Linked DNA regions of Oryzias latipes. The protein of the gene in region 2 binds, or shares a complex with, the protein of the main gene of each other region. Links are inferred from orthologs where the notes say so. Each region holds a gene or a part of one and is shown on either strand. Other genes may lie near its edges.

The links.
Region 1: the proteins of katnb1 (region 2) and katna1 are in contact, whole or in part, in a crystal structure (PDB 5OW5), measured with the Mus musculus proteins. The link is inferred for Oryzias latipes from reciprocal best matches to the Homo sapiens genes KATNB1 and KATNA1. Residues at the interface, in NP_083081.2 of Mus musculus: Leu485, Val486, Asp487, Glu488, Ala490, Met491, Gln493, Ile494, Arg495, Gly497, His498, Met501, Phe502, Val504, Leu505, Thr506, Arg508, His509, Leu512, Asp513, Val515, Arg516, Trp519, Thr521, Asp542, Leu543, Ile546, Gln549, Lys550, Leu553; in NP_035965.2 of Mus musculus: Leu5, Gln6, Ile8, Val9, Val12, Arg16, Ala19, Leu20, Leu21, Gly22, Tyr24, Tyr31, Tyr41, Leu50, Lys53, Trp54, Gln56, Val57, Glu60, Ile61, Val63, Glu64, Gln67, Val68, Asp70, Ile71, Thr74, Leu75, Ser77, Phe78.

The regions. Positions count from the first base shown.
Region 1 is NC_019882.2:10,465,352-10,472,714, reverse strand, and holds the end of katna1 (katanin p60 ATPase-containing subunit A1), read left to right. Parts: intron 1-957; coding exon 958-1,144; intron 1,145-1,244; coding exon 1,245-1,342; intron 1,343-1,854; coding exon 1,855-1,960; intron 1,961-2,040; coding exon 2,041-2,199; intron 2,200-3,242; coding exon 3,243-3,369; intron 3,370-3,454; coding exon 3,455-3,589; intron 3,590-3,760; coding exon 3,761-3,887; intron 3,888-3,958; coding exon 3,959-4,157; 3' UTR 4,158-4,432; downstream 4,433-7,363. UniProt on the Homo sapiens protein: Catalytic subunit of a complex which severs microtubules in an ATP-dependent manner. Microtubule severing may promote rapid reorganization of cellular microtubule arrays and the release of microtubules from the centrosome following nucleation.
Region 2 is NC_019861.2:37,561,762-37,569,618, forward strand, and holds the end of katnb1 (katanin p80 WD40 repeat-containing subunit B1), read right to left. Parts: intron 7,845-7,857; coding exon 7,770-7,844; intron 3,083-7,769; coding exon 2,966-3,082; intron 2,891-2,965; coding exon 2,749-2,890; 3' UTR 2,666-2,748; downstream 1-2,665.

The DNA.
Region 1 (7,363 bases), on a different chromosome or scaffold from region 2:
CTCTGGGAACTGTTGCTGGACCCATGATGACCTCTTAGGTAGTCGTCGCTGGTATTTTTGGGACCTTTTCTCAGTTTGGATCATGCTATCGTCATGACTGACCAGCAAATTCACCTGGGAAATTTATGTAAGGAGGAAATGTGAGGCACGAGACCCAACAATGAAAACCAGGTGTCTGCAGATCTACACCTCTATGTTACCCAGCATGCAACAGGACCACCAACCAAGGACTTGGTCCTACTCAGTGATACTTTGATAGTAGCACCACATTCTTTCTTTAATAAAATTCAAATTTCCTGAGATATTGACAATGACATTTTTATCAACTGTGAGCTATATTATTCAAAATGAACTATATTATATCTATGTGGGAAAAAATCTGTTTAATCTTTGGGTTTGTTTTTACTGAAATAAATACACTTTTATGATATATTGTATATAAATTTAGAGATAAAAGCAAAATATAAAAAGTGATTAAAGATTTATAGACTTTTAATGTAAAAATGGTGTCATAAAGCCTTCTTGTCTCATTAGTGTTTCTGCTGCTCCCGTGCAGACGTGAACACAGGTAGAAATATTGGAAGCCTCCTTAGTTTAGTTTTTGTTTGCAGTCATTCAGACACATCAGATCCTGGTCACATGATCAGCATTAAAGTCCCACTAGCACGGTAGCACCGCATGGACCAGCAGGACTACAACTTCAGTTCTGAACTTTCATTGTTTTCATTTCATCATGAGATCCAACCTGATGGTTCTTTTGGTTCTTCAATGCTGTTTGAAAAAGGTCTAGGAGTAAGTGAACCTCAAAGAAGGTTGGGATGAATTACCATTAACTCTTAAGTGTAATGGATTAAATAATGTTTCCAGAGGATTCCAAGGTTTATTATAAAAGTGAAGTTCAGGCCAGAGACCTATTTTTTTGTGCATTCATTAGATATTCGTGTTCTTTCTCCTCAGACATTTTCCCTGTCCCATCCGCCGCCCTGATAACCCCTACAAAGACAGCAAATCCCCCAACAACCGGCAGAACGCGGCGGTGAAGGCCCAACAGAGACACTCGCATCGAGGACCCACCGGAGAGCGCAGCAAAGCGCCCAGAGACAAGGAGAAGAAGGAAGCAGCAGGCAAAGCAAAGGAAGATAAGGTGAGAACATTGTTTGCTGTGCTGATCAAAGGCTGGCCCGCCCATCCGTCCAGTTTCTCCCTCAGACGACAGGAGCTGCATTTCTGCTTGCTTTCTTCAGGAGAAGGAGGTGAAACGGTTTGATGGGGCGGGATATGACAAAGACCTGGTGGAGGCTCTGGAGAGAGACATCATTTCACAGAACCCCAACGTGAAGTGGTTCGTCAGTCTTTATTGCTTCTCTCCTGCAGCTCGCCGCTTTGTTTGATCTGTAACGTTAAATATGTCAAACTTACTGTTGCTGTGGTTTCATGCTTTTCAGTTTCCAAATACAGAGTATTTTGTATACAGTAATATGATGAATCATTTATTTTACATAAATATTCTCAGATGTTTATCTGTGTATTTTGAGGAAAACACTGTCAGCAGGTGAAAACGTTTTTACGCCCGAACTGTTTTCTGTCAACAACTTTCTTTCTGGTAAATGGCGTATACTTGTATAGAGCTTTTCTACCTTCCTCGAAGCACACTGGCACTAACTTATAACCACCAGAGCCGAGGTGGGGTTCAGTAGAAAAAACAAAAGTAGAAATGGACACCACCTGTATCTGATGCTAGGTAACAGCCTATTGTAACAGTAACGTCTTTCCAACACAGCAGAACGCTCCTGTTTGAGCAAAATAATCAGGTAATTGGATATCTGTCAGATCTCTTATTGTTCTTGGTTGTAGGGACGACATTGCAGACTTGGAAGATGCCAAAAAGCTGCTAAAGGAAGCAGTGGTGCTGCCCATGTGGATGCCAGAATTTTTCAAAGGCATAAGAAGACCATGGAAGGTACTGATTTTAAAGCATGTGTGTGCGCTTAGTTATCCACTCCCTGCCTTTTCCTAAAACGACTTGGATGGGGTCTTCAGGGGGTGCTCATGGTGGGACCTCCAGGGACAGGAAAGACACTCTTGGCAAAAGCTGTTGCAACTGAATGCAGAACCACATTCTTTAACGTCTCTTCATCCACACTGACCTCCAAGTACAGAGGAGAGTCTGAGAAGCTGGTTCGTCTGCTGTTTGAAATGGTGAGATCTTTTTCAGATTATCTTCCAATTAGAGAATTTGTGCTTTGAGGCATGGGTCTTTAGGTCAAGTACACTTTAGACAAATCTGTATTACAAATACTAGTTTATTTGGTCCATCTCTGTTAAATTCTTGACAGCAGTTCTATTGAGATTTTAAAAAATGTCTCTGCTAATAACTACAAGAACACAGTTTTATGTTTCTCTGATTGGTTGATGCAAGATGCTTTTTTTGCCATTTATAAGCTAAAAATTAAGTTTTGAACATTTTTAAGTCTCCTCCATGAACTGTTTAGGACTCTAGAAGAGTTGGATTCAAGCAGTCGTACATTAGTTTGGTTTCTTTCCTAAATCCAGAAAAAACCTGTCAGTGTTTGCTTACAGGAATCCTTCTTCAACACAGCAATTGTGTTGATAAAAGATCTTAAACCAAGAAATATTAAAAACTGAGCTGGCCTAGATCATTTAACCTTTTTTAGCATTCTAGCCCTAAAATTTGATGAAAGAACACTTTGAAATAGTCCATAATTAATTAAATTAAAGACAAAAGGTCTAAGGAAATCTATCTTAAATAGGTTAAGTTCTTCCTTTATGCAGATGATACAGTGATATTCTGCCTTTATGCTGATAATACTACCACATTCCTCTTTTATGCTGATGATACTTCAACATTCGACTTCTTTCCCGCTGATACTGTATTGATTCGCCTTTATGTTGATGGGACTGTGATGTTCCGTGTTTATGCTAATGATGCTGTGATGATAATCTTCCTAATCTTTTGTGCTGATGATGCTGTGATTTACTGCTCTGTTCACAGCTGAGTTGACAGTCCGTCAGGAAAACTGGTCTTTATGCTCTCAAGTGTTTTATTTTCATGTTCAAGCTGCCGTTTCCACACCAATAATGGGTTCTTACCAGAAACCCGTAGACCTGTTTGTTTCCAACACTTAGGTGTTATCTTCACTAATCCTGGTGACATTTTTCACACATATCTCTTAATGTTTATCATCAATAGTCCTTAGTCATAACATGAGCCACTCTTCCAGGCGCGCTTCTACGCTCCCACTACAATCTTCATTGACGAGATCGATTCCATGTGCAGCCGCAGAGGGACATCAGAAGAGCACGAGGCCAGCAGAAGGGTGAAGGCAGAACTTCTGGTGCAAATGGATGGTATGGAGCTTAGTGTTGCTGCTACACATTCATCATTTTTGCCTTGTGAGCTATTGTTGTAGAACTGTTGGACACTGTGCTGCAGGTGTTGGTGGAGCTTCAGAGAACGAAGACCCATCAAAGATGGTCATGGTGCTGGCTGCCACCAACTTCCCATGGGACATTGACGAGGCTTTGAGGAGACGGCTGGAGAAGAGAATTTACATTCCATTGCCATCAAGTATGTTCTTTCCCCAAAACCATTGGATCTGCTCAAACTTGAACGGAAAGCATCTGGCTTTATCATGCTATTTTACTAATGTTATTTTTACAGCAGTCAAACACATTCACTCATCAGTCTCGCAGCAGTTCTAAGGAGTTTGCTCAAATGACGTGTGTTGGATGTTTGCAGCAACAGGGAGAGTGGAGCTGCTCCGGATCAACCTGCGAGAGCTGGAGCTAGCCAGCAATGTGGTCCTCGACAAGATCGCCGAGCAGATGGACGGCTACTCGGGGGCAGACATCACCAACGTGTGCAGGTCAGACAAACGCAGACTGACTGACAGCAGAAGCTCGTCTGCATTCTGTAACCCTGCCTCATCTTCTGCAGAGACGCCTCTCTGATGGCCATGAGACGCAGAATCGAGGGGCTCACCCCAGATGAGATCCGCAACCTCTCCCGGGACGAGATGCACATGCCCACCACCATGGAGGACTTTGAGTCTGCTTTAAAGAAAGTTTCTAAGTCTGTGTCTGCATCTGATCTGGAGAAGTACGAGAAGTGGATTGAAGAGTTTGGATCATGCTAAAGGAGCTTCTCCTCGCAAGGACTTCCAACCAAACCCGGACTCTGAAGAAGATCCGGTTTGGTTCTTTACAGAAGCTAAATGTCTTTAACACGAAGACTTTAAGAACTGACAGTTAGGAGATCTTTGGACATTGTCAAGATAAAGAAAAAAAATGTTGCACTTTGGAACCAATTCAATTATTTCTGCTTACCTGCTTTCTTGTACTTGATTTGTCTGTAAATGTCTGTTTTAACTTTGTAATTTAAACACATTAAAGAAACACTAGGGAAACATTCTCTTGACTTAAAGTTGTTGTTTTGGCATCTTTGCCTGGTCCAGGCAGCTTTCTGTAAATACGAGTCTTTTAAACTGAACCTGATGGATCAACATTCTCCTAAAAAAAATTGAGTTTTGTTCAGAACCTTTGTTTACTTTGAGATAAAAAAAATATCAGGAACTGAACTTTTAAAGATCTTCATACAATAGAACCAGGTTGAACAAGATGGATGCTGCCCTCCTGCTTCATTCAGCTTTCATGTAGTTTTTCAAGGGCAAATTTTGAAGACTATACAGTAATATTTACCATTACCTAACTTTTTAGGGACAAACTACTATCTTAAAAAAAATGCTATTTATCTTGAAATGAGTAAAAGTCCGTTTTTTTACAGCTTTACAAAGGAAACTAAATCGGATCTGAACTCTTGTTTATTGACTGAAATCTTATATTTTTAAAGCAGCCATTCAGACTGATACTTCACTTATATCATATCTTCTAGCAAGCAGTCATTCTTCAGCATTTATGTTTTGTTGAAACAGATCTACCATTCTTTTGTTGACATGTTTTTTTTTTTACTTTTATCCAGCTCCTGCAGATACCATGCAGGTCCTTGTTTGTGGTCATGACTCGGCATGACAAACATAGAAGAAACCAAGCCAGTTTGCAAATGTACAGAGCACCCTTTGATAAAGCCTTCGGTGAACTCAGCAGGCAAATTTACATAAAAACCAGCGTTGCAGAACGCATTCATGACATCAGCTGTTTGCCTCTATGTTCAAAGGAGGGCAGTGAATGAGATGAAGGGAAATCGGGTGGTAAACTGTAGCTGTTTACACACCATGGAGCTTTTGTGCTTGAATGGTGGTCAAGAGAAAATGTGAAACAGTATGACAGGAAAACGAGGTGTTCATGACAGTTTTTTTAGCAGACTTATGGCCAGTTCAAAGGATTTGAAGGACATTTTACCACAGAGTTAAATGGCATTTGTATCTTTGGTCCCAGGCCAGCCAATTACAAAGCAAACAAAATGTCAATATGATAAAAATTGATCTAAATACAATTCTGATGTAAATATAAACACAAGGTAAAAAGATTTGTTGGAGGTACTATAACCTTTAGTTAAAAATACTGTAAAAAAGTATTGTAAATTCTGAAATACTTTTTTGAGATGTATTTATACTCAAATACTTAAGTATACTTATACTTACTTTAGATTTAGAATTCTTATAACTAAAAATATATTATAGTACTGATGGGGGTAGAGGTAGAGCAATCGACCTCTGATCAGAAGATCAGAGGTTTGGTTCCCGCCTTGTGTCAAAGTAACGTTGGGCACAACACTGAACCCTACATTGCTCCTGGTGGTTATGGGTTGATGGTGCCAGTGTTTGTCAGCAGAGCTGTGTGTGAATGAGTGAATGGGATTGTGACTGTAAACCACTTTAGGCCTTCAAGGAAGACAGAAAACTTCTCTATAAGTATGGTAAACACTATTTACCATTGTAACCCTTGTGCTATCCTAGGCACTTTAACGTTGGGAGTTGGGTCATCTAGACCCACTAGACAGTGCTCTGAACCTTTTTTCTTCAATGATTTGTGATCTTCACTGGTGTCCATGGATGACATGAAATCTTTCCACCTTTATCCACCTTTGTCATGGTAGGGAGAACACGTCAATGTAAGGGTGGGGTCATAGGATAGCACAAGGGTTAAGAATCATCTTTGTAGTAAATCCAACTTCCCCAGGTTTTGTTCACGCAGCTGTCTACTTGAAAAATAAACTGCATCCACTGCTTTCTGAAATAAATTTCCTTTAGGAAAAATAAGTTGTTCACAGCCATAATCACCCAAAACATCTGGAAAAAACATTTCTATTCAGTGGTGTATGTTTTTGTGATCTTGGAGGTCCTCTTGCTTTTTTGTTGTCAAAATTTCAGAGTGAGGCGTTTCTTTGTGCCTCTGGAATAACATAAAGCCTAAAAAATAAGATCTTATTTGTAATGTAATTTTAGTAATCTATTTATTCAACAGTATTTTTACCTTTTTTTCTAATACTTAAATAGTTTTTTTAATGATTCCTTTTTCCTCATTTTATTTTTATTCTTTTGATTAAACAGTTTGTTCTTCAGTCTAATGTATAGAAAAATTTTCCATGAAATAGTTTTGATGCACTTTAAAGGATTTGAAGCCTGTAATCTTTGTGTTATTTACAATAACAGATCAGATCAGTGGTTGTCTTGCTAAAGTGTGTGGAGGTGGTTCTTGCAAAATTTAAGCTGATACTTTGGTCTGAAATTATTCACGTAATTCCTGGTTTTAAATGACTGATCACCTTAACTTGCAGATCTTCTGCCTCGTCAAAGTTTTGATTCAACTACAATTTCTTTAAAGTGAAATTTGACCAGTTTTCCAGTTACGAAGGGACTTTCAGAGCATCTTTTGGTGCCAGTCACTCTGTTCTGTCAAAAAATAACCCAAAGCTGATTTTATCTTTGTTTGTGTCAGACTGCAGCAAAAAAACAACATGAAAGTTGTGAAGAGAAATTTTATTTAGAGCAAAGTTAAACTGAACCACTGTTCATCTGAACTTCATAAAGCTAAAACGCACAAACCATTAAACAGAGCATGTTTAACACACTGTCCCGCTCAAACATCGTACTTTCACACCATTTGCCATGAAAAACCATTTCCTGGCTCAGATCAGGAACCTCCTGGTTCCACCTTCACGCACGCTGAAGTCCTCCTGAATTGAACTTGACCTGAAGGTCTTTGACTCTGCAGCGCCCCCTGCATCCGAATCAGAGCTGGCTGCCCGACTCATCAGACAAGAACCTCAACCTTTCAGCAGTTTGAAGTGATGTCCAGGAAAAGAAAGGTGAGCCATGCAGAGGATAAACAAACAGTAGCAGCTCTGCACTGAACACCCAGACAGACAATCTGCATCAGGAAG
Region 2 (7,857 bases):
TCAAAGTGAAAGACGTCCGTCCTCTACTAACTTTAGCATGTTCTGGTTAGTCATGATGTTTTCCAGCGGGATCCCCTCCCTCAGCTCCTCCCTCTTTTGGGAGAGCTGTCAGTCAATCCTCAGAAGAGACGTCAAACCGTGACTCTAATGCTTCAAAGCTGCTGGAGGTTCTGTGACATGAAGCTACCTTCACACAGAACACGTGACACATGGTGTTCACATTAGACCAGCAGGGGGGGGCTTTTCCTAGTGTACGTCCACCACCTGCAGGTGGAAGAGGTTTGGAGTGAAATGTCGTAGCGTGTAAATCTGGTGAATCTGGCTCCAGACTGATTCCATTCCCATAAAAGAAAGAGTTCCAGCCCGGAACAAACCGCAATTATTCAATCCTCAATTTTAAACGGTTGGCTCTTCTGGGAATTAAATGGGACGCCATCCACACGACGAGTCCCTATGGGTCAAAGTTCAACCTGGCATAACTTAGCGTGTTCATAGAGCCTGCAAATAGTCGTAAACACGCATCAACGTGAGGTTATGAACGCAGAAATGATCGACTTGTTGTGAACGTTGTGAAGCTTAGGTTGTGTCTGAATTCCTTCACTGCTCACTCTATAGAGCGTTCTCCAGGTTCTAGTTTGTCTGAATCTACAATTCCAAAATCCAGAACCCTAGAAATTTCCCAGAAGTCTCTGCGAAAAAACAGTGTGCATCAATGCTCACTAGATGGGTGAATAAAGACCACAATGCATTGCATTGGAACATTTTTTGCCAAAAAATGTATTTATGTATTTTTTTAATAAACCCTCATTTCTATCTTCAGAAGACAGTGGATCATATATAATCATAGCTAAACGCTCATATCTATTAGATTTTAATTTTGAAATCGATGACGTCATATCCGCCGTTTTAAAACGTGAACGCGGCGTCTGAACGGCTTTTAGAATTCAGGACTCTACATAGAACCGCACTATATAGATTTTTAGTAGAGGTTATGGCGGGAACTCAGACACAACCCTAGAGTTTCCTCTGTAGACTGGAAGGTCCTGCCTTAAGGTTAACCCTTGTGCTATCCCAGGCACTTTAACGTTGGGAGTTGGGTCATCTAGACCCACTAGACAGTGCTCTGAACCTTTTTTCTTCAATGATTTGTGATCTTCACTGGTGTCCATGGATTACATGAAATCTTTCCACCTTTATCCACCTTTGTCATGGTAGGGAGAACACGTCAATGGAAGGGGGGGGTCATATGGACCCCATAGGGTAGCACAAGGGTTAAAGGTGAAGCCATGTTTTCTCTACAGCTCTCCCTGCTGGTCGTGAAGAGAGACGACCCTTCTATTTGCTAAACACCAGCGTTGCCGCCGGCAAAAGCAAAACGGCGTGCTTCTTTGATCTTTGACTGGTTACGGATTAGCGCAACTCTTTCAACGTCATTCCAACAAATTGTGAAGCTTTTGTTAGAATTGCGTTAATTCCATAAGGCGGTTGGAAGAGTTGCGGCGGTCGTTGAAGGGTTAAAAAAACCCTGACTGTGTTTTTAGAGGATTGTGGGAAATGAGGCCTTCAGCTTTACATGCGTGTTTTCATATTTATCATCACCTGTGTGGGTGTGGTCAGGCGTCATGTGACCACTGACTGATGAACTCTGTTTTCTGCAGGACGACTGAAGCTGACGGCCTAAAGGACGGACGAAGGGGCAGTTCCCTGCTGGGGCGGTTTCCTGCTGGGGCGGTTCTGTTGGTTCAGGCGCTCCTGCTGCTGATTGGACCATGCACTCCTCTTGGCGCCCCCTGCTGGACTGAAGTCTGTCCGTTTCCAGAATCAGTGTTTTCTTTGAAAATTTGCACTTTAAGGTTTTAATTTTTGTTTCCAACACCCCCGTGAAGGAGGTACATGTTTCGTTTGTCTCTATTCAGATTTTGCTTTGAAGTTCTACTTTTTCTTCATATTTTGAGATAAAACTTTTATTTTGAAATTGGAGTGGAAAGTTCAGACTTGGAGAACTTTCCAGTTCAGAAGTTTTTCATTTGAAGAAACTGAGATTGGTCTCATGCTGCCTGCCTCTCCTGTAGCTTTCCTTTAACCAATCAGGGTACTTCGCTAATGCCAGACTGTCCAATCAGAGCAATACGAGGAATTGATCTCGTGTCCGAGCCGGTTTCTTCTTCTGCAGTTTGTGTGCTTTTTTTTGTATTTCCTTTTTAATAAAACATTCCACCACGAGCCTTTGAGTTTTCATGACATGAAGGGATATTTAAAACAAGATAAACACAGTTTCACTCAAAAGGGGAAAGTTGTAACACTTGTTCTATCCTAGGCACTTTACCATTGGGAGAGGGGTCATCTAGACCCACTAGACAATGGGTCATCTAGACCCACTAGACAGAGCTCTGAACCTTTTTTCTTCAGTGATTTGTGATCTTCACTGGTGTCCATGGATTACATGAAATCTTTCCACCTTTGTCCACCTTTGTCATGGTAGGGAGAACACGTCACTGGAAGAGGGGGGGGGGGTCATCTAAGATAGCACAAGGGATAAAATAAGACTGATGGAGTCAAACCAACAACCTTTGACATTCCTCAGCATCTTGCTCAAGGACACTTGGCAGAGGTAACTAGGAGCTGAACCACCAACCCTTCTGCTGGGAAGACAAAGGCAAAAATGTCTTTTTTTCCAAAAACTTTATTTTAGAAAAAACATCAAAAAGTAAACAGCAGGAAGTGAAGTCATCGCCGCCAAGTCCAGGTTCACGGAGCCTCGTCCAGCGGCGCCAAAACGAGCTGCAGCTCCAGGAAGGTGCTGCCCAGACGACCCACCTGCGGGGCGCGGCTCTTCACCGTGACGCTCGTGGTCTTCAGGAGTTTGCAGCACTGCTGGCACTTCCGGTGTCTGCGGACACAAACGGGACTAAATGCAGGTGGCAGGCTGGGACGGCGCCGCCCCCTGCAGGACACACGGACTCACCGCTCCTCACGCGTGATGTCGACCCCGACAGACGGCAGGGCCTTCAGGGTCTCTGAGATCAGAGCCCAGAAATGCCTCATGATGAGCTTCAGAGACGTGGAGCCGGTCTGGATGTAGCTGAGGACACGCATGAACACACGCATGAGAACGACCATGAACACACGCATGAACACATGTATGAACACAAGCATGAACACACGCATGAACACACGCATGAACACACGCATGAACACACGCATGAGCACACGCATGAGCACATGCATGAGAACGACCATGAACACACGCATGAACACATGTATGAACACAAGCATGAACACACGCATGAACACACGCATGAACACACGCATGAACACACGCATGAACACACGTATGAACACATGTATGAGCACACGCACGAACACACGCACGAGTACACGCATGAGTACACGCATGAACATATGCATCAGCACACGCATGAGCACACGCATGAACACACGCATGAACACACGCATGAACACACGCACGAGCACACGCACGAGCACACGCACGAGTACACGCATGAACACATGCATCAGCACACGCACGAACACACGCACGAACACACGCACGAACATACGCACGAACACACGCACGAACACACGCATGAGCACACGCATGAGTACACGCATGAACACATGCATCAGCACACGCACATGAGAACACGCATGAACACACGCACGAACACACGCACGAGTACACGCATGAACATATGCATCAGCACACGCATGAGCACACGCATGAACACACGCATGAACACACGCACGAACACACGCATGAGTACACGCATGAACATATGCATCAGCACACGCATGAGCACACGCATGAACACACGCATGAACACACGCACGAACACACGCATGAACACACGCATGAGCACACGCATGAACACAGGCATGAGCACACGCATGAGTACACGCATGAACACACGCATGAGCACACGCATGACACACGCACGAACACACGCATGAGTACCCTCATGAACACACGTATGAACACAGGCATGAGTACACGCATGAACACACGCATGAGCACACGCATGACACACGCATGAACACACGCATGAGTACCCTCATGAACACATGTATGAGCACACGCATGAACACACGCATGAACACATGCATGAACACACGCACGAACACACGCATGAGCACACACATGAACACACGTATGAGCACACGCATGAACACACGCATGAGCACACGCATGAACACACGCACGAACATACGCACGAACACACGCACGAACACACGCACGAGCACACGCATGAGCACACGCACGAACACACGCACGAACACACGCACGAACACACGCACGAACACACGCACGAGTACACGCATGAGTACACGCATGAAGATATGCATCAGCACACGCATGAGCACACGCATGAACACACGCACGAACACACGCATGAACACACGCATGAGCACACGCATGAACACAGGCATGAGCACACGCATGAGCACACGCATGAACACAGGCATGAGTACACGCATGAACACACGCATGAGCACACGCATGAGCACACGCATGACACACGCACGAACACACGCATGAGTACCCTCATGAACACATGTATGAGCACACGCATGAACACACGCATGAGCACACGCATGAACACACGCACGAACACACGCACGAGTACACGCATGAGTACACGCATGAACATATGCATCAGCACACGCATGAGCACACGCATGAATACACGCATGAACACACGCACGAACACACGCACGAGTACACGCACGAGTACACGCATGAGTACACGCATGAACACATGTATGAACACACGCACGAACACACGCATGAGCACACGCATGAGTACACGCATGAGTACACGCATGAACACATGCATCAGCACACGCACATGAGCACACGCATGAACACACGCACGAACACACGCATGAGCACACGCATGAGTACACGCATGAGTACACGCATGAACACATGCATCAGCACACGCACATGAGCACACGCATGAACACACGCATGAACACATGCATGAACACACGCACGAACACACGCATGAGCACACGCATGAGTACACGCATGAGTACACGCATGAACACATGCATCAGCACACGCACATGAGCACACGCACGAACACACGCACGAACACACGCACGAACACACGCACGAGTACACGCATGAACATATGCATCAGCACACGCATGAGCACACGCATGAACACACGCATGAACACACGCACGAACACACGCATGAACACACACATGAGCACACGCATGAACACAGGCATGAGCACACGCATGAGCACACGCATGACACACGCACGAACACACGCATGAGTACCCTCATGAACACACGCATGAGTACACGCATGAGTATACGCATGAACACACGCATGAGCACACGCATGAGCACACGCATGACACACGCATGAGTACCCTCATGAACACACGCATGAGTACACGCATGAACACACGCATGAACACATGAACACGCGCATAAACACACGCATGAGCACACGCATGAGCACACGCATGAGCACACATGAACACACAAGAGCACACGTATGAGCACACATGCATGAGCACACGCATGAACACGCATGAACACACGCATGAACACACGCATGAACACACGCATGAACACACAAGAGCACACGTATGAGCACACATGAGCACACGCATGAGCACACGCATGAACACACGCATGAACACACGCATGAGCACACGCATGAGCAAACGCATGAGCAAACGCATGAGCAAACGCATGAACACGCATGAGCACACGCATGAACACACGCATGAACACACGCATGAACACATGCATTAACACACGTATGAACACATGTATGAGCACACGCATGAACACACGCATGAGCACACGCATGAGCAAACGCATGAACACACGCATGAACACACGCATGAACACACGCATGAACACACAAGAGCACACATATGAGCACACATATGAGCACACGCATGAGTACACGCATGAACACACGCATGAGCACACGTATGAGCACACATGAGCACACGCATGAACACACGCATGAACACACGCATGAACACACAAGAACACACAAGAACACACAAGAACACACAAGAGCACACGTATGAGCACACATGAGCACACGCATGAACACACGCATGAACACACGCATGAACACACGCATGAACACACGCATGAGTACACGCATGAACACACGCATGAACACATGCATGAACAGACGCATGAGCACACGCATGAACACACGCATGAGCACACGCATGAACAAACATGAGCACACGCATGAGCACACACATGAACACACGCATGAACACACGCATGAAAACACGCATGAGCACACGCATGAACACACGCATGAACACACATGAACACACGCATGAACACACGCGTGAACACACGCATGAACACACGCATGAGTACACGCATGAACACACGCATGAACACACATGCACATACGCATGAGCAAACGCATGAGCACATGCATGAGCACACACATGAGCACAGGCATGAGCAGAGGCATGAGCACAGGCATGAGCACAGGCATGAGCACACGCATGAGCACACGCATGAGCACACGCATGAACACACGCATGAACACACTCATAAACACACGCATGAACACACTCATGAACACAAACATGAACACACACATGAACACACATGAACACACGCATGAGCACATGCATGAGCGTACGCATGAGCCCATGCATGAGCACACGCATGAGCGTACGCATGAGCCCACGCATGAGCACACGCATGAACACACGCATGAGCACACACATGAGCACACGCATGAGCACACGCATGAACCTACGCATGAACACACTCATGAACACATGCATGAACACACACATGAGCACACGCATGAACACACTCATGAACACAAACATGAACACACACATGAACACACGCATGAGCACATGCATGAGCACATGCATGAGCACATGCATGAGCACATGCATGAGCGTACGCATGAGCCCACGCATGAGCGCACGCATGAACACACGCATGAGCACACACATGAACACACACATGAACACACACATGAGCACACGCATGAACACATGCATGAACACACTCATGAACACATGCATGAACACATGCATGAACACACTCATGAACACATGCATGAACACACGCATGAACACATGCATGAACACACGCATGAACACATGCATGAACACACTCATGAACACATGCATGAACACACACATGAACACACGCATGAACACACGCATGAACACACATGCACACAGACACACATTTGAATGAGGCCTGCAGGAAGCAGCAGTCTCTCTTTCTTCATCTTAAATGTCCATTTTCTGCATGGGGGGGGGGCAAACGTTAGGATTCGTGGGCCACAAACGGTCCTAAAGTTTGACCGACGGGCCGAACCAGAACCGGACCAGAAGCATGAAAACATGCACCTCATAAGAGAAAGAAAAGAATCTGGACGAGAACATTCTAGATTCAAACATTTTGGAGTTTTTTTATTTTTTCTCGTTTTCGCGCCGACGGCTCGATTCCCTTCAGGAAAAAAAAAAAAAGAAAACGTAGGAAAACGCTGCGTTCATGGAACGATGGGAAAAATGACTGTCCGAGTCAGTTCTACCACTGAACACAGGTGTCTGTAGAGCACCGCCTACAGGGAGACTCTGGAATTACAGGCCAAATAAAATGAAGGATTATCAATAGAAATGATCCCAGTTTAGGGGGCAGTAGTCCCCCCCCCCCAGTTCTGGACTTGAATCGTTTGTGTTCAGTTGTTAATGTTTGTGTCAATCTGTGCGACTGTGGGCAGAAACACAACGGTCACCTCTCGTATTTGCTCTGCAGCAGCTTGTGGACCTGAGGAAGGAGGAGGGTGCAGGCGTCCAGACTCCAGAGAGACCTGCCCCAAACAA